Stegostoma tigrinum: one gene and its partner. The protein of the gene in region 1 interacts with the protein of each later gene in a pairwise test. Links are inferred from orthologs where the notes say so. Each region holds a gene or a part of one and is shown on either strand. Other genes may lie near its edges.

Region 1 (10,074 bases):
CTTTACTGATTAAAAATCTGTCTATATCAGCCTTGAATACACTGAACAATCCAACCTCAAAAACCCTGTGCAGTTAAAAAAGTCTTCTAAGTTTCATTGACTTTAATACGTTTACTTAATTGTAGAAGTCTTGGATCTAAAATTTTGATTTGCTTAGGCTTTTGGTGGAGAGAATTCCCGGCTTTGACTATTCTCTGCACAACATTTGTAAATTTTCTGTAAATTTATGATATGTATTTGCTTTAATTAATAGGCTACTAGGATCCAAATCAAACTTTGACTGTTAACAAAAATGGAATAACTTCAACGAAAAATTGGGTAAGTAGACTAAAAGATATGGTTGTAAATAATCAGTGACAAAACATTTAAAAACAACTTCAAAATGTTAAACGAAAATCTATTCCATTGAAAACAAAACTCAATGAGAAAGATCCATCTATGATTTCCCAATAAGGTTAAGGATAATATTAGATAGTTAAAAAGGCATATGATGTTGAAAAGGATGGTAATAAGTCTTGGGGTTGGGAATGTTATAAAAGCAGAAAAAAACCCCCAAAAAAATTAATAGAAAAGGAAGAACTAGAATATGAGAATATTGAAGAAAATATAAACTAGTTAGGAATATCAAAGTCGAGTGAAAGAGCTTTTAAAGGGGAAGAAAAATGAAGGCAGTAGCCTAAAGTAAGCATTTGTCGCTTAGAAGCAGAATCAAGATAGATTATCATGGGGTTTGAAAAAACGACAAAGACATGGAATAAATATTTTCTGTCTGTCTTCATAAGTTGCATACCAGAGAAAGGGGGTAATCTAGGGGCTGAATAAGAGTAAGGTAATCATTATCAGAAGAGAAAAATTACTGAAGAAACTCATCAGACTAAAATCAAAATGCCTGTGACTGATTGCTCACATCCTACATTTTGAAAACAAATAGCTAGAGAGATAATGGATGCTCTGGCAATGATTTTCCAAAATTCCCAAGTCTCTGGAGTAGTCCTAGTGGTATAATTAAGAAAGTCTTAACAATGCATCTTTAAAAAGCATTGTTTGATTTAAATAAGTTTAAGAAAAAGAGCACTATGTATCAGAAGCAGTTCTGAGGAAGGGTCACCAGAGCAGAAACATTAACTCTGATTTCTGTTCACAGATGCTGCCGGACCTGCTGAGCTTCTCCAGCAAATTCTGTTATCGTTTCTAACTTACAGCATCTGCGTTCTTTTGGATTTTTTTTAAGGACTGCAAATGTTGGAAATCAGAAACACAAACAGAAGAAATGCTAACTGTGCTCTCTCCACAGATGCTGCCATACCTACTGAGTTTTCCCAGCAACTTCTGTTTATGTTTGAGAATAAGCCAACTGGTTTTATAAAAGAAAAATAATGTTTTACTGACTTATTACTTTTTGAGAATGTAAGTATATGGGGACCAGTTCATGTAGTATATTTGAATTTCCATATGGCATTCAATGAGGTGTCCCATAAAAAGATAATGTACAAGAGCTCATAGAGATAGGTGTTACATATTAAAATGTCTTGCTTAATTGTGCCAGGCTTTAGTGAGACCACATATTTCCGAGTCAGAATGGTGAGTGGCTTGGAGGGGAACTTGTAAGTAATGGTGTTCCTATGTATCTGCTGTCCTTTTACTTCTAGACAGAACTGATCTTGGGTCTGGAAGGTGTCGTCTAAATAATGCTTAACAATGTAGAGATTGAATGGTTGTTTCTCCTGGTTGGGGAGTCCAGAGCAAGAGGACACAATTTCAGAGGAAAGAGTGGACTGTTTAGGATTTAGATAAGGACAAATGTCTTTATTCAAATGGTTATGAATCTTTGGAATCCTCTCTCCCAGAGCGTTGTAAATGTACCATCATTGAATATATTTAAGATTCAGATAGATTTCTTTTGCCTCACAGGAAATCAAGGAGTATGAGGGGAAGTTGAAGCTGCAAGATCAGCCGCGAACTTATTGAGTGGCAGAGCAGCTACAGGGGACTACTTGGGCTTCTCCTGCTCCTTATTTTTCATTCTTTCAGGGAATGTGGACATCACCACCCAGGTCAGCATTCATTTATTGCCCATCCCAAATGGCTTTGAAGAAGGCGCTGGTGAACCACTTTCTTGAATTGCTGCAGTCCACGATCTGTAGGCACATCTAAAGTTAGCCCAGTAAAAGAGGAGAGATGGTGGTACATTTCCATCTCAGGATGTGGTGTGACTTGGATGGGAACATGCAGGTGGTGGTTTTCCCATGCATCTTCTGCCCTTGTCCTTGCAATTGCTAGAGGTTGGTGGTTAAAATGTGCTGTCAAATGAAGCTTGGTGAGTTACAGAAGTGTATCATGGAGTTGGTACACACTACCACAATTAGGCATCAGTAGTGAGCGAGTGAATGTTAAAAGCGATGGATGGAATACCAATCAAGCGGGCTGCTGTGTGCTGGATGCTTTCAAGCTTCTTGAGTGTTCTAGAGTCTAGCAAGTGGACAGTGTTCCACCACATCCTTACATTTGCCTTTTTGATGGTAGAAAGGCATTGGGAAAACATAGAAACAAAGAAAATAGTAGCAGATGTTGTGCATTCAGTCCTTCAAACCTATTCTACCATTCAATATAATCATTGCTGTTCATCCATCCCAGTATGCTGTTTCCACTTTCCCACATTCCCTTTGATTCCTTTAGCCCTAAGTGCCATGTCTAACTCCTTGAAAACACTTTTTTTGTTTCAACCACTTCCTATGCCAGAGAAATCCACTGGCTCACCACTCCCTGGGTGAAGAAATTTCTTGTTATCTCAGTCCTAAATGAGTAGTTCATATTTTTAGACTATAAGCCCAGCATCTGGAATTCCTGGTCATCAGGAACATCCTCTCTACTGTTTATCATCTCTAGTTGTGTTTGAATTTTATAGGGTTTCTATGAAATCCAGCTCCCCCCACCATTTTTCTAAACTTCTGTGAATATTGTCTTTGTTCATGCATGAGGTCTTCAATCCTGGCAATCCGTCAGGTAAGCCTTTGTTGAACTTCCTCCATAGCCAGAACATCCTTCTTCAGATAAGGAGACCAAAGTTACACACAGTGCACCAGATGTGGTCTTACTAAGGCCCTGTACAATTGCAACAAGATATCCATGCTCTTGTATTTGAATCCTCTTGCAATGAAGACCAACATACCATCGATGCTGCCTACCACACGTGCATGCTTACTTTCAGTGACTGGTGTACAAGGACGTCCAAGTCTTCATTGATATCCCCTTTTGCCAATGCATTGCCATTCAGATATCAGTCTGCTTCCCTGGTTTTACTACCATGGTGTACAACCTCACACTTGTCTATATTATACTTCACTTGCCACATATTTATCCACTCACTCAACTTGTCCAAATCACACTGAAACATCTTGGTGTCCTTCTCACAGCCCACCCTCCCACCCAGCTATGTGTAGTCTACAAACTTGGAGATTTTACATTTAGTTCCCTCATTTAAATCATTAATATATGGTGTTAATAGCTGGGAACCAAGCATAGATTCCTATAGTATCAGACTTGGCATTGCGTGCTGTTTGGAAAAAAGATCCTTTTTTCCCTACTCTTTCCCCCCCCCCCCCCCCACCGCGGCGTGTTGTAAAGCAGGACCACCAAAGTGGGTCTGACACAAGCAGTTAATGTGAATAAAAATGAGCTCCTGTGTGTCACTTGAGGCTTCCCACGGCTGTCTCCCCCGTCAACTTCCCCCCCCCCACCAAAACACACACACAGGCACACACGCCACGCACCCCCGTTTCCAAAACTGGCCAAAACATCAGACAGTTTGTTACCCACACTTAAAACATTGAGAGCTTCCCCAATTTCAGAAATAAGCGATTCCCACCAGACTGCCATTCACTGCAACCAGCATTGCCCACGACTCAAGATTATGCACCAAATCCCTGCATTTGGCATACATATATGCTTTTTTTTGTCCAATGCACCAACAGTTGGATGAGCATTTGACTAAACACTGTGCGATGAGTCACTGTTTCTAACTTGATGTCGTGATAGATGTCACGGTGGGAGTAGAATGCAGCTCTACGCCCGAAACGTCAACTTTCCTGCTCCTCTGATGTCGCCTGGCCTGCTGTGCTCCTCCAGCTCCACACTGTGTTATCTATTATTTGCAACATATTTGCCCAAGCCTGGATGTGATCCAGGTTTTCCTGCATGTGGACATCCAGTCTGCTTCCTTCTTGGAGGCTAAATGTTGTGCAGTCACACATCACTTCTTTTGATTTTATGACCACCTATTTAATGTTCTTAAAGTTCTGACGGTGAACCCCAGCAAAATCTAGACCCAATTTAAAGCAAATGACAGATGGCCCCAGCGTTCAATGTGCCTGGTTGCGTATTTTTTTGCGCAGTATCACAGGCTCCATGTGATGTCCAGCTCGATATCCCATCAGCGCGGGAAAGGCAAGGGCGGGCATCATTTCAGTCACGCACTGAGAGTGTGTTCTGGGGAAAGCAAAACAGGCTCAGCTTTTCGTGGCAAGATCCTTAAAAGTGTCTTTTCTACTTTGGTTTGCATTAGCACAAGGCCAGTCCACTGGGTTAAAGGCTTATTCTGAACAGAAAACACGCTTTGTAAAAATGTGTCACGTCGGATTCAGCTTTTGATTATTTGAGCGTTAGATGTCCGATATGTGCAGCTACTTCCTCAAGACCTCCCATCCCCATTTGTGTAATGTTTAAATGCTTCTCAACACGCAAATAAGGTTGTTTCCTTCCTGCCAACCGTGAGAATGGCCAAAGTTCCGACAGGAAAATCAAGCACATGAGGAAACACACAACAAAACGTGTCCATTACCTCTTCAAATCGAATTTACATTCTACTCCCACCGTGACATCTATCACGACATCAAGTTAGAAACAGTGACTCATCGCACAGCGTTTAGTCAAATGCTCATCCAACTGTTGGTGCATTGGACAAAAAAAAGCATATATGTATGCCAAATGCAGGGATTTGGTGCATAATCTTGAGTCGTGGGCAATGCTAGTTGCAGTGAATGGCAGTCTGGTGGGAATCGCTTATTTCTGGAATTGGGGAAGCTCTCAATGTTTTAAGTGTGGGTAACAAACTGTCTGATGTTTTGGCCAGTTTTGGAAACGGGGGTGCGTGGCGTGTGTGCCTGTGTGTGTGTTTTGGTGGGGGGGGGAAGTTGACGGGGGAGACAGCCGTGGGAAGCCTCAAGTGACATACAGGAGCTCATTTTTATTCACATTAACTGCTTGTGTCAGACCCACTTTGGTGGTCCTGCTTTACAACACGCCGCGGTGGGGGGGGAGGGAGGGGGTTGATGATGGTTAGGAATTGGGGCGGAAGGGGAGCCGGACTGGTGGGTAGGGGTGGTAAATCAGAATAATGCCTCTGGTGTATCTCCCCCCCCCCGCCGCCGCTTATGAAACGGTTCTATTTTGATTTATTCAACGAGAAAGCTATAAAATATTCCTGTAATAATGGCCGCTGTTTTCTGTGAATTGAGAATATAATTGCCTAGCAATACCAACCTTCAGAACAGCTAAGCGATTTCCGCAGTTTGTAACGTTTCCAAGCTGGCTGACTAATTTGAAATTAATTCATACTGAGAGAAATAGCAAACTGGCCGTGGACAGGACCACAGTCCAGATTCTGGAAGGCAATTTGTCTGCCAAGATTCCTGTCGACGTCACTAGGGTGTAACATTTCCGAGGCGAGTTCACGGGAGTGGTATAAAAGCATGGGCCACCGAATACAAAGTAGAAATGACCGGAGTGTAGTCTATCTGAATTGTACTGGATACATTATTCACGGCCTGAGATTTGTTAATACCATCGGTGATTTGTGAAATTTGTGCTGGTTTACCAGAGCTGACCTGAAGGGCACAACTTTAGTGAAGTCGGGCAGTGTTGGTACTGGACATAGAGAGGGCTTCACACTGGAGCTGTGTGTGTGACAACATTGGGCTGACATAGAGAACCGATACATTTTTAACCTTTGGAGGAAAGCCGTCTTCATTGACTGAAGCGTTCATCATAACAGCGTTGAACAGGAACGCGGCACTTGCTTCACTTCAAGATGTCTTTCGTTTTAATAGCATTTGTGCTCTATAATCAGATTGAAAATATAGCTACAGCGCGTAAGTAATATTCGATTTTACACATTCTACAAATTCTAAAAACCATGGCAATTGTAAAGAGAAAGAAGAAATGTAGTTTCTTCTGGTGTATTGCAAATCGACTGTCTTGTCTTCCGGCGCTTTTACCAAATGTTTAACCAACTGTTCTTTATTGAAAAGATCCATTCTGATTCATACCAGTTACAGAGAACTGATTGCCTCATCCTTAGCGGGATGCCCCCGCGGTTTCCCGCGAACCATCACTTGATGGAAGTGAAGGCTCTCAGTGTTAGAGGTGTGAGTATCCTCCTCCTGGAAAAGGGACCAGTTAGCGACATGATGGTCGACCAGCTTTGGAATGACGAACGAGCTACTCTGGGGAAAGACAGTAGCTTTATTTAAAGAAAAATCTGTTAGTGGATTGTATCGAAAAAAGGTAACGGTTATAATAACGATGAAATAAACGAGTGCAGTAGGTGCCCTTCATCTCCCAGTAATCCATTCTGAATTCTGAATTAAATTTTCTCAGCGGTTGTGCGCGAACAGAGACAAATCCCACATCTTGCGCGACGTTACTGGTGCAGTACCTGAGCTAAAACAAACCACTCCTGGTTATTGCGGAGCAACGAAAGGACAGTGGGTGTGATTTTGAAAATAACGTCAGACAGTGCAGTGATTCAGGTCTGCTGTTCTCGAATTCCCTGGTGGGGAACCCATAGCACCTTCTCTCGACTCTCATCACCTCCAGGTTCGCTGTCTACGTTTTTAAAAGGTCGTGCGTTGATTTGAGATTCCAGTAGAGGCAGTACTTCCAGGTTTTTTTTCTCTCCTGACTGTTTTAATCAATCATAGACAACAAGGTGTCGAGCTGGATGAACTCAGCGGACCAAGCAGCATCACAGGAGCAGGAAAGCTGACGTTTCGGGCCTAGAATCTTCTTCAGAAGGCTTCTGGTTAGAGTTAGGGTCATTTCTGAAGAAGGGTCTACGCCCGAAAAGTCAGCCTTCCGGCTCCTCTGATGCTGCTTGGCCTGCTGTGTTCATCCAACTGTACACCTTGTTACTTCAGATTCTCCAGCATCTGCAGTTACTACTATCTCTGTTTTAATCAACCCCTTGCGCTGTGAATTGTGACATCGCGAATGGAACACAGTCGCCCGGTTTTTGGGGAAGGTGGACAGCTACATTGGTTTGCACACGGAGCTCCGACGTTCTGAAAGTGAGATTGCAGATAAAGCGGAGCTCACACCCTTGTAATTCGACAGTGTGGCAGATGAACTAATAATTCCTAATATCTAACACGAGCAATTGCTCACTTATAATTGCTTAATAGTGGGATTATTTTCGGTTAAGTACGCTATTTGTATCAGAAATTTAAGATAGACTTCACCAGTTGACGTTTCTAATGTAACGTAGAAACGAAATCAAAATACTCCAGTTGCTGGAAATCTGAAATGAAGACAGAAATGGAACAGACATGATGCCAGACTTGTTGAGTATTTTCACTTTTTTTAACTTGTCAGTAACATTACTGACCGAACAGACTATAGATTGGATGTAATTAGACATGTTCGCATTAAACCACAAACCTTCCGCATGGAGATTCCAGAGGGATTTGATGGGGGTTGGGGGTGGCCGCAGTTTTTGTTGCACTGTGGGTGGGTTGAAGAAGCGGCGCGGTTCTGCCCCGCACTACGGCTGGAGATGCTCAATAGCACGTCCTCACTCTGTCTTCACAGTCGTTTCAAACCCAACCTACCGCAGCTCCTTTTGTAGCTGTTGAACGCTCCGGCGCAGCTCAGGTAGTCCACATTGAGAGAACGCTCAGTGCATGACCCAAGGCGCGAAGTGGGTTGGAAATGGAATGAATGCAAGATTATCAGTTGACCCAGGTCATATTCGCATCAAACTAAAGTCTAAAAAGCAACAACCAATCATGATTTCAGCAGCTCTGTGACACCAATAAGCTGCATGCTTTATTAAGTGACAGTTTGAGTTGTAATACCTTTGTAGAATAATAATGTACAGGATTCATCAGTAATGTATAAAGTTTAAACTCCTCACAAACAAAAAATAGCACTTCAACACAGCGATCAATTCAGAATATGAAATCAGCAAATGTCTTTATCTTCAGCGCATCTTCCCGAATGATTTTATTTGGTTCAGACATGACAAGGAAGGAGGAGATGGGAAGCCATGGTATGGTATTAATACAATGGGACCAGTAATTCCAAAAATCCCCGCCAATGTTTAATTTCAGTTACGAGGAAAAATTCAACAAGTTGGAACTTTTTGAAGGGAAGGGCTGAGAGAAGATCTGATAGAACATTTGGAAATCATATACATGAAGACGAAATGCTTGGAGGGACATAGGCCGAGCGTAGACAAGTGGGACTAATTTAGTTTGGGTTTACGGCCAGAATGGACCGGTCCGTTTCCGGGCTTTATCGCTCTAAGAGCGGTTGGATAGTATAGATAAGGAGAAGCTGTTCCTTCTAGTAAAAGCTTCAAGAACTAGAGGGTGTAGATTTGAGAATTTAATGTGAGGAAGAACATTTTCACGCAGAGGGCGGTGGGAATCTGGAACTCACTGTTTGTAAGGGTGGTGCAGGCAGAAACCCTCATAACATTGAAATATCTAGATGCCAAGGCATTAAAGGCTATGGGCCAAGTGCTAGAAAATGAGATTAGAATAGTTAGGAGGGTGATTTTGACAGGTTCAGACTGTCAAAGGGCATTTTCCTGTGTTGTAAATCTCTGCGACTCTACCTTTTAAAGTGATTTGCAAAAGAGGCAAATGTGAACTGAGAAAAATCTGCCTGGATGTGTGTGGAATTGAATTCAATTTACGCATTCAAGATGGTATCGGATGATTGTTTGGATGTAAATAATTTGCAAGGTTAGGGAGAAGAAGCAAGAGATTGGGAGTAGGCAAAAAAACAAAAACGGCCATGCTGGAAATCTGAAGCAAAAACTGTTTTTGTTTGGAAAATCTCAGCAGGTCCGACAGCATTTGTGGAGAAAAATCAGAATTAACATTTCGGGTTCAGTGGCCCTTCTTTAGAACAGGCTCACTGAATCTGAAACATTAACTCAGATTTCTCGCCACAGATGCTGCCAGACCTGTTGAGATTTTCCAGCAATTTCTGTCTATGCCTCAGATTGGAGGTAACTGCATGTTGCTTGTTTGAAGTGCCAGTGCAGACACGATGGGCCGAACAGCCTCTTTCAGCACCTACTAATCCTGTCATTCTTCTGTAGAATGTGTTAATCCTAATCGCATCCATTTTATACTATTTTGTATGGAGTATTATAACTAAGTGGAACTGCGTTGAATGAATGAACAACCTGGTAAGTTGAATAAGTAGAATGTTGGCATTTTGTGATGATTTAAACGGGGTGACTGTTACTGTAACGTATTTTCTGTATGTTGGTTCAGTATCTCAGCGCAGGGGTCTAGGGGACAGTATGAACATGTAATTTCAAGCGCAGAACATATTTATGCTGCAGTGATGAAATTGGAAAATAAAACACTGAGCTCAGTATATTTCGACGTGTTTATAAAATTTACCACTGTTTAGAATGTATCCGTGTCTGCAGGAATCTGATTTGTGTTGCTTCTGTTGTGAATTGATCTAGCAGTGTGAAATGGTTCCCTCAAGAGGGCCTGTGAGGGCCGTTTTTCTTCCAATAACTTGGGCAACAAGTGCAAATGTGGTTGTAATAACCGCTCTGAGAAATGAAGCCAGGTCGGATACTAAGCAGTGGAACACAGAATTAAAGAACGATTGTTCAAAGACAATAACTGCCTTACATTAAAGAAGGCATTTTTATTTCTATCGCAATGCGATTGTGATCACATAATTCAATACCACAACTGGAGAATATAGCAAATGCTGATTATAAAAGAGGAAACTACATTTTTCATATACATATTTGACATTTTTGGC
Region 2 (10,255 bases), on another chromosome or scaffold:
TACAACCGTAATAAAGTAGTGCCTGTTGTAAAGAAATAAAAACAGCAACCACAATGTACGCAGTGAGTTTCCACAATCTGCAATAACATCATCCCGACTGGGCAGACAGGGCCTTAGGTTAATGTAGCCCTTAGCCAGTGCAGTGCTCTCTCTGCAGTGACCCTCTGATGGTGGAGCAGTCTCTCACTTGTTCACTAGAAGTGTCTTATTAATCATTTATTCTCTCTTTGATCAACTTCTCCTTTGACTCATCTCACTTTCTACAAGTCCAAGGTGTGGCCGTAGGTACCCACATGGGTCCCAGCCCTGTCTCTTTCTTTGTGGGGTCTGTGGAACATTCCTTGTTCCAGATGTACTTGGGCCTTAACCAACAACTCTTTCTCCAATAGTTGACCATGTAATCAGTGCTTCTTCCTGCTGTGGTCTGCATTTGGAAAATACCATCAGCTTTGTTTCTAATTTCCATCCTTCTCTCCCTTCACATCTGGTCTATCTCTGACTTTTCCCTTTGTTGACTTCACTCTGCCCATTTCTGGGAACAATATCCACTACAAAACCATTGAGACACGTGGTTACCTCAACTAGCCCTCCTCACACCCTGCTTCCGGCAAGGATCCATTCCATTCTCCTAGTTTTTCTGTTTCAATTGCATTGTTCTCATAAAACAAAGAACTGATGATGCTGGAAATCTGAAACAAAGACAGAAATTGCTGGAGAAACTCAGCAGGTCTGGCAGCATCTGTGGACAGAAAGCACTATCAACATTTTGGGTCTTGTGTCCCTTCCTCAGAATTGTTCTGATGAAGAGTCACCAGATTTGAAATATTAACTCTGCTTTCTCTCCAGAGATGTTGTCAGATTGCTGTGTTCTCCAGAAATTTCTGCATCTGTTCTGATGATGCCACCTTTCACCGGGCTACCTTCAACATGGTTCCTTTATCTTCAAGCAAGGATCCACCCTCACTGTAGTTGACGGTTCCCTGAGCCATTTTCTGATCCACACTTCTGTTCACTACTTGCGTCCTTTCTGGAATAATGGTAAAGTTCCTTTTAGCCTCACTTTCCACCCCACCAGGAATGAATTCCATTTCAGACAGCCACAGTAAGATATCAAATACATCTTCTCCTCCCCTCCATTGTCAGCATTCTACAGGGACTGTTCCTTTTCTGACATCCTGCCATTGCTCCATTGAACCCCAGATTTCCTCATTTCCCCATGGCATCTTCCCACACAGTTGCAGAAAGTGTAACTCCTGTGCGTTCACCTCCTCACTCCTCACTTTCCATGGCCCCAAACACAGCTTCCCGGTGAAGCAGCATTTTATTTGAGTTTATTTCAATGTAGTCTACTGCATTCGCTGCTCACAATGCAGTTTGCTTTACATTAGTGAGACCAAACATGGATTGAGTGAGACCTGAAATGTCAGCTTTTGTGCTCCTAAGATGCTGCTTGGCCTGCTGTGTTCATCCAGCTTCACACTTTGTTATCATGGATTGTGTAACTGTTTTGGAGAGCACCTCCACTCTGTCTGTATGGATGACCCTGAGAACCAAGTTGCCTGCTGCTATTTCAATAAATCACCTTGCTCTCATACTAGCATATCTGGTCTGTGCCTGTCAAAAACTCAGTGAAGCTCAACACAAGCTTAAGGAACATCTCATTTTTCACTGAGGCAGCCTCAAGGACCCAATACTGAGTTTCACAACTTCAGAGCATGACTTCTGTCCTCCTTGTTTCTTACACCTCAATCACTCCTTTAGCCCATTAGTTTTCCTTTAGTCTTTTGCTTTGGGCACCTCATAATCTGTTCCAATTGCTCCTTTTCCTGCTCTGCCAATAACACAAAATAGCATTTTCCAATTCCTTTCCTTTGTGAAGAGTCACGTTGGACTCAAAACGCTAACTCTGTTTTTCTTTTCTCAGATGCTGCCAACTTGTTGAATTACTTCGGCACTTTCTGTTTTCATCTTGGGGGGGCTTGTCAAGCTGAATTATGTATTCATATTCCTTGAACCTACTATATTCTGACCAAGCAGAGTGAGTGGTCCTCCTGAGCCATGGTTTTAACCCTCAATGTACAGTGTTTCCCACTGAAACTGAGTTGAATAGATGGGAAGCTGGTCATTGTTGACAGATACATGGAAGCAGCTGTGTGCTAGTTACAGATCTGCTCTTTCATGCAGCTTCATACACAGCTGTTGCAGGGTCATTGATGGTGGGGAGATGGAAGATGCAAACTCTCATACTTAAATCCTCACCTTCCTTAAAAATATTCCAACCATAAGGTTTGCATCCATTCTGTAAATCACCGCCTCCTGCTGTTGCAAGTAAATGGCAGCTGAAGCAGCAAAAAGGCTGTGAGCATTCTGGCTAAATGTATTTCAGCGTCAGAATGGCAAAAGGTCCCCATTCAGGACTGGGCAATTTCCGAGCACAGAAATGAGAGCCTGACAGATGCAGCTGTCTGCAATAGAGCAGATGGGAAATGAATAACAGAAGGGAGCTGTGGTCCAAGGAGCAGAGTTTGATAACTGGCACTGTGTCAAGGGGAGACCTACCCAGGATTGAAGAGCATAATGACTGGGTCATTATATAGAGATGGGTGGGGATGTAGTTGGGAAATGGCCAGAGCAGAAGGAAATCACCTTTTAATTTGAGCCAGACTGTTCAGGGGTGATGTCAGGAGGCACTTCCTCATACAGACAGGAGTGGAAATCTGGAACCCTCTCCGATACTGAGGTTTGTTGATTTTGTCAGGAGTGAATCACGAAGTGGTTACAGTACACAACAAGACCATTTGGCCATCAAATTTGTGCAAACCCTCACAAGGAGCAGTGCTATTTAGTATCATCTCCCTGTAGCCCTTTTCAAATAACTTTCTAATTCACTTGGGAATACCTCAATTGAAGCTACCTCCATCACATACTTAAGCACCCAAGCCACTCGCTGTACAGAAATGTGTTTTCTGATGACGACAGAAACCAGGACAACTCCAACGCGGAAAGTTACTCCTCTGCTATTGAGCAGCAGCAAAATGATAAAAATGACAGGTTGCACCTTAACTGGTGGGGCACCAATATCCTGGGTGGGAGGTTTGCTACAGATCTGCGGGGCGGGTGGGGGTGGTTTAACCTAGTGTGGCAGGGGCTGGGGCAGGGGATCAGAACAACAGACCAGTAAGAGCAGGCAGTCGGGACAAAAGAGAGACTGAGATATGCATCGCACAGAGTAAGAGCGAGCAGAGGGATGTCACAGGGTTCGGAGGGACTGGAGGTCTGGAGTGTATTTACTTCAATGCAAAAAGTATAACAGGTAAGACAGATGAACTATGGCTGGTCTCAAGGGTATTGGCTATGAGGAAAGGTTAAAAAGATGAGGATTGTTTTCACTTCAAAGACAGCGGCTGAGAGGAGACCTGATGGAGGTGTACAAAATAATAAGAGGCACAGATAGCTTGGGTAGTCAGAGACCTTTTCCTGGGGTTGAAGTTTCAATTACAAGGGGGTGCAAGTTCAAAGTGAGAGGGGGAAAATTTAAGGGATATGTGCGAGGGAAGTTTTTCATGCAGAGAGTGGTAGGAGCCTGGAATGCACTGCCAGAGGAGGAGGTCGAATCAGGCACATTGGTAACATTTAAGAGGCATCTGGATGGCTACATGAATAGGGAGGGAATAGAGAGATATGGACCAAATAAAGGCAGAATGTTTGTTCTTTAGTTTAGTCAGGGCATGATGATCAGCACAGGCCTGGAGGGCCGAAAGGCCTGTTCCTGATCCAGACTTCTCTTTTGTCCTTTTGAAAGTTGATAATGCTTAGCAAGAGCCTACTCACTGATGGCCAGTTTGGGTTGTGCCGCTCACACAGTTCCCTCTCTCAGTACAGCTTTCATCCAAATAGGGACAAAGACCTGAATTCCAAGTGTGTGGTGAGAGTGACTACCCTTGATATCAGGTCCACATTCAACTGAGTCTGGCACTTATCTGGTATACGGTAGATAACGTTTGGGCCAAATACAAGGCAGTCTCCAACAACAGCAAATCTAACCATTGCCACCCAGCACTCAATGGCATTACCATCATTGAATTCCCCACCATCAAGGTACTCGGGAGTGCGCTTTGACCAAAAGCTGAACCGGACTAGCCATATAAATCCAGCGGCTACAATGGCAAGCCAGAGACTAGGAATACAATGGTAAGTAACTCACCTCCTGACTCCCCAAAGTCATCATTTGCAAGGCACAAGTCAGGAATGTGATGGAATACTCCTCACTTGCCTGGATGGGTGCAGTTTTAACAACACTTAAAAATCTTGACACAATCCAGGACAAAGCCCACCTGATTGGCACCACATCCACAAAAATCCACTCTCGCTGTCACAGGTGCTCAGTTGCAGCAGTGTGTACTATCTACATGATGCACTGCAGAAATTCACCAAAGATCCTCAGACAGCACCTTCCAAACTCATGACCACTTCCATCTAGAAAGACAAGGACAGCAGATACATGGGAACACCACCACCTCCAAGTTCCCCTCCAAGCCACTCACCATCCTGACTTTATATCATCATTCCTTCAGTGCTGCTGAGTCAGAATCCTGGAATTCCCTCCCTAAGTGTATTGTGGGTCAACTTACAGCACATGGACTGCAGCAGGTCAATAAGGCAGCTCACCACCACCTTCTCAAGGGGCAACATGGGATGGACAAGAAATGCTGGGCCCAACCAGCAATACCCACATTTCATGAGTGAATAAAAAATGTCACATTTCCTTCTTTTGTGAATCATTTAAATCTCTGCTCTCTTGATCTTGATCCTTTGACTAATAGGAACAGTTTCTCTATATTTACCCTGCCCAGATCCCTCGGGACTTTCACTGCCTCTTAATCTTCTCCAATGTAAACGATCCCAGCTTTTCCAATTACTCCAGATCACTGAAGTTCTTCTTTGTGCCTTCTCCAATGTGGTGATGTCCTTCCTTTAGTGTGATGCCCAGAACTGAATACAATGGCGTAGCTGAGGTTGAATCAGTATTCATCACCGATTTAACACCACTTCCTTCCTCTTATACTCCATGCCCCTAACAACAAAGACCAGATCACAGTCCTGTGTTTACTGTGCTCTCAACCTGTCCTGACACAGCCAATGATCTATGCATGTATACATCCAAGTACCTTCATCCCTGTAAAATTGTGCCCTTTATTTTGTATTTTCTCTCCATATTCTGTGTACCAAAATAAATCACTTCATGCTTGTTTGCATTAAAATTTCATTCGCCATTTGTTAGCCCTTTCCTCCAAACTGTCCATGTCCTCTTGAAGTTTAAATGATGATGTTAACTGTTTTCTCTCCGCAGCAGCTGCCCGACTTGCTAATTTTCTCAATGATTTCTGTTTTGGTTTCAGATCTCCAGCACCTGCACTTCTTTGTTTTATTTTACTCTTGAAGTTCAAGACTGCCCTCCCCACAGCTCAGGGTGATGAGACCAATGCAAAAAACTGGGAGTTAAACCGAGACCAAGCAAAATCTAATCAGTGGGACAGGATAGAAGGGAGGAATAATCTTGGCCTGTTCCTGTATTCTCAATTTTACTGGGACAGGATTCTGTAATCAATCAGAGTGAGCAAATACAATCAGCTAAAAATGTCAGAGGCAGAGATGTTGATAAATGCAACAGGAAGAAAAATTCAGGAAAATGTTCAGCCCACACCAAACGCAACCACCTCCTTGCTGCATTCCTGCCCGTGTGTGTGTGTATGTGTGTGAGAGAGAGAGAGATAGGGAGTGTGTGTGTGTGAGTGAGTGAGAGAGAGAGAGAGGGAGAGAGAGAGAGAGACAGAGAGAGATAGGGAGTGTGTGTGTGTGTGTGTGTGTGTGTGTGTGTGTGTGTGTGTGAGAGAGAGAGAGAGACAAAGAGAGATAGGGTAATAAAATGTGAGGCTGGATGAACACAGCAGGCCAAGCAGCATCTCAGGAGCACAAAAGCTGACGTTTCGGGCCTAGACCTTTCATCAGATGAAGGGTCTAGGCCTGAAACGTCAGCTTTTGTGCTCCTGAGATGCTGCTTGGCCTGCTGTGTTCATCCAGCCTCACATTTTATTATCTTGGATTCTCCAGCATCTGCAGTTCCCATTATCTCAGAGAGAGATAGGGTGTGTGTGTGTGTGTGTGTGTGTGTGTGTGTGTGTGTGTGTGTGTGTGTGGGAGAGAGAGAGACAGAGAGAGAGAGAGAGACAGACAGACAGAGATAAGGAGTGTGTATCCGTGTGTGTGTGTGAGAGAGAGGAAGAGAGAGGGTGTGTGCGTGGAGAGAGAGAGTGTGTGTGTATGAGAGAGAGAAAGACAGAGAGAGATAGGGAGTGTATGTATGTGAGACAGGGAGTGTGTGTCTGTGTGTGTGTGCGTGTGAGAGAGAGAGGGTGTATGTGTGTGAGAGAGAGGCAGAGAGAGAGAGAGAGAGAGAGAGATCTCAGACTCTCTCCTGCCCCTGTGTGTGAAGGAGAGGGAATGTGTTTATCTGAGGGAGAGGGAATGTATGTGACAGAGAGGAATCTCAGGCTCTCTCCTGCCCCTGTGTGTGTGAGAGAGAGCGATCTCAGACTCTCTCCTGCCCCTTTGTGTGAGAGAGCGAGTGTGTTTGTGAGGGAGAGCGATCTCAGACTCTCTCCTGCCTCTGTGTGTGTGTTGGTGTGTGGGAGAGGGAGTGTGTGCGTGTGCGTGTGTGTGTGTGATAGAGAGAGAGGGGGAGTGTGTTTATGAGCGAAGGGAGAGAGAGTGTGTGTGAGAGGGAGGGAGTGTGTTTGTGAGAGTGGGAGAGAGTGTGTGTGAGAGAGGGTGTGTGAGAGGGAGGGAGTGTGTTTGTGAGAGTGGGAGAGAGTGTGTGTGTGTGTGAGAGACAGGGAGTGTGTTGGTGAGAGTGGGAGAGTGTGTGAGAGAGAGGGAGTGTGTTTGTGAGAGAGAGCGATCTCAGACTCTCTCCTGCCCCGTGTGTGAGAGAGGGAGTGTGTTTGTGAGAGGGATCTCAGACTGTCTCCTGCCCCTGTGTGTGTGAGAGAGAGAGGGAGTTTGTGTGAGAGAGAGGGAGTGTGTTTGTGAGAGTGGGAGAGAGAGAGAGAGAGTGTGTTTGTGTGAGTGGGAGAGAGAGTGCCCAGACCACCCCCCCCTCTCTGTTTGGCTGTTGGGTAATGGATGATGAATTCCCCAAATGACATCAGCGGCTGGGCAGGAGAGTGTGGACAGGATCAGTCTCAGTGTGGAGAGGTTTCACTGAGGGGCAGCTCCGCTGATGAAGCCGAAGTATGGCCGGTTTCGAAGTGAGTCGGTGACCAGCTCAGCAAGCGGCTTGTTTCACAGCCTGACCATGAGCGGCCAGCTCGGTGCAGCTCCCGTGGCCGAAGAGCCGGAGGATTCCACCACCTTCTGCACCCTCATCCCCAGAATCCCGCACTGGAAATTCTCGGCGTCGCCGGGAGGCAGGAACCCGGCCAAAGGGCTGCCTCCCCCCCCGGGGCCCGGCCTGGCCACTGTCCTGGGATCCTGTGACTCGCTGTGCCCCCCTCCCTGCTCTGTCCAGGCCACGGCACGGCTGCCCGGGGGTGGCCGGAGGGTCCGGGTGGAAGGAGTGCGCTTGGCCGGGGGGGAGTGGAATCGCAAAGGCAGTTTCATCAACAAACCGTCCGGAGGCTGGTTACACCCAGATACCAAGATCCTGGGTCCCGGGGTCTCCTACATCGTCCGTGTGAGTAACAGGGGCAGAAGTGTGTTGGTGTGTGTCCCTACTCCCCCGGGGGCAGACCACACTCAGTGCCCGTGCAGGTAGTTTTGGGGGGAGGAGGGGGTGGTCCGTCCCCATTGCCCACAACAAGCTGCAGCCTAGAGCCTCCAGAGCGAGCCCCAACTCTGTCCTCAGGAGAGGGCAGGGCAGAGAGCGCTTCCCAAAGCAGTCGCTGAGGCAGGGTCATATCATTGGCAAGGAGAAACCAGGAACTAATTGACTCACTGGACCCTGGCATCTGACGTGGTCCTGCCGTTGGAATCTATCATTTAATTACTTTATGAGAATGTAATTAGAATCTATAATGCAGCGGAGAGAGGCTGATCACGAACAGAAACTTCTGTCGGGTCTGAGAAAGCGAGAAACATGACCTTTTCCAAAGGTTGGGTCTTCTCTGATTGAATTTTTGGAGGAAAAGCAGCAGGTGGACAGTTTAGGTGAATGTTGCCGTTTGTTGGGACTTGAGGAAAATATTTGATAATTTTCTATGTGTTAACACAGAAAGGGGCAGTTTAGCCCTTCCTAGGAAGGAGTTGATGCTTGTGAGAGGTCGGCGGGATGTTTCCTCACATGGGGGAGTCTGGAACAATGGGGATTAGCAGAGGCAGATCTGTTGGTTGTGAGGTTGTTTAGCTCTGTTTATCACTTGCTGTTTACGATGTTTGGCGTGCGAGTGGTCCTGTTTGGCTTCACCAGGTTGGCACCTCATCATCAGGTCTGCCTGGTGCTGTTCTAGTGATAATACCACTAGGGAGTGCCCATCCCCAAGTGCCCATCTTTAACATGGATTGCCCTTGAGAAGGTGCTGGTGAGCTGCCTTCCTGAACTGCTTGATTTGTGGGTATGCCCACAATGCCCTTTGGGATTTTGTCCCAATGACGGTGAAGGAATGGTGATTTAGTTCCAAATCAGGATGGTGAGTGACTTGGAGGGGAACTTGCAGGGGTTGGTGTCCCATGTATCTTCTGCCCTTCTGTCCTCCTGGATGGAAGTGGTTGTGGGTTTGGAAGGTGCTGCCTGAGGATCTTTGGTGAATCTCTGCAGTGCATCTTGCAGATAGTACACACTGCTGCTATGAGTTGGTGGTGGAGAGAGTGAGTGTTTGAGGATATGGTGCCAATCAGGTAGGGGCTGCTTTGTCCTGGATGGATACCAAGCTTCTCGAGTGTTATTGGAACTGCACCCATCTAGTTAAGTGGACAGTATAACATCACACTCCTAACTAGTGCCTTGTAGCCAGTGGACAGGCTTTGAAGAGTTAGGAAATGTGTAACTTGCTGCAAGATCTGTAACCTTTGACCTGCTTTTGTAGCCACTGCATTTATATGGTTAGGCCAGTTGAATGTCAATTGTGTCTCCTAGAATCTTCGTAGAGGAAGAGTTAGCAATGGTAATATCAAGAGACAATGGTTTTGATTCTTTCTTTTTGTAGATGGTCTTTGCCTGGCATTTATGGCATGAATGCTGCTTGCTACACCCAAGCCTGAATCATGTCCGTAAACACAAATTGCTGGAAAGACTCCGCATTTGTGGAGAGAAAGGAGAGTTAACAGTTCAGGTCTAGTGATCCTTCTTCGGACTCTCCTGGATATTATCCAGATGTCGTTGCATTTGGATATGGACTGCTTCAGCATCTGAGGAGTCACGAATGGTGCTGAACACTGTGCAATCATCAGCAAACATCCGACTTCTGACCCTATGATGGAGGGAAGGTCATTGATGAAGCAGCTGAAGATGGTTGGGTGAAGGACAGAGATGTCTTGAAGCTGAGATGATTGACCTCCAACAACCACAGCCAACATCCAATGTGCTAGCAAAGTGATGATAGTGATATTGATGGTGGATCAGTATCCAGAGATCCAAATAATGTTCTTGGGGTCTGATTTTAAATTAGTCTGTGACTAACTGTAGAACTTGAATTTAAAAAAAAGTTTGGAATTAAGAAGTCAATTGGTGACCATGATCCTGTCACTAGTTGTTGTGATAGAGAGGGGTTTTTAACTAAAGTCGTTTTAGAGAGAGAGATGTGCTGTCCTGGTCTGACCACCATGTGACTTCAGACCCACAGCAATGTGGTTGACTCAAACCTAAACTCTGAAATAACAGGGTAAAAGTGTGAAGGATACTCCCCATGGCTGGGGAGTCCAGAACCAGTGGTAACAAACGGAGGCCACCAGGTGGGCCAGTTCGTATTCAGATGAGGAGAAATGTCTTCACCCAGAGAGTGGGAAGCCTGTGGAATTCACTGCTACTGAAAGTGCTTGAGGCAAAAATGTTTAACATTTTCAAGGAGTTAGATAGAATCTTTCAGGCTGAAGGGATTAATTGGTATGGGGGTGAAAGTGACAACATGGGACTGAGTTGGATGATTAGCCATGATCGTATTGAATGGTGGAGCAGGCTTGAAGGGCTGAACGGCCTACTCCTCATATTTTCTATGTTTTTCATATCCAACTAGTACAAACTTTTGATTCAAGATTGCTACGA

What was found. The genes of interacting proteins can lie anywhere in the genome.
Region 2: the proteins of flt1 (region 1) and shc2 interact in a two-hybrid assay, tested with the Homo sapiens proteins (2 studies listed by BioGRID). The link is inferred for Stegostoma tigrinum from reciprocal best matches to the Homo sapiens genes FLT1 and SHC2.

Annotation. Positions count from the first base shown.
Region 1 is NC_081359.1:79,183,461-79,193,534, reverse strand, and holds the start of flt1 (vascular endothelial growth factor receptor 1), read left to right. Parts: upstream 1-5,730; 5' UTR 5,731-6,085; coding exon 6,086-6,146; intron 6,147-6,696; exon of another isoform or gene 6,697-6,873; intron 6,874-10,074. UniProt on the Homo sapiens protein: Tyrosine-protein kinase that acts as a cell-surface receptor for VEGFA, VEGFB and PGF, and plays an essential role in the development of embryonic vasculature, the regulation of angiogenesis, cell survival, cell migration, macrophage function, chemotaxis, and cancer cell invasion.
Region 2 is NC_081383.1:1,005,781-1,016,035, reverse strand, and holds the start of shc2 (SHC-transforming protein 2), read left to right. Parts: upstream 1-6,178; 5' UTR 6,179-7,279; coding exon 7,280-7,732; intron 7,733-10,255. UniProt on the Homo sapiens protein: Signaling adapter that couples activated growth factor receptors to signaling pathway in neurons. Involved in the signal transduction pathways of neurotrophin-activated Trk receptors in cortical neurons.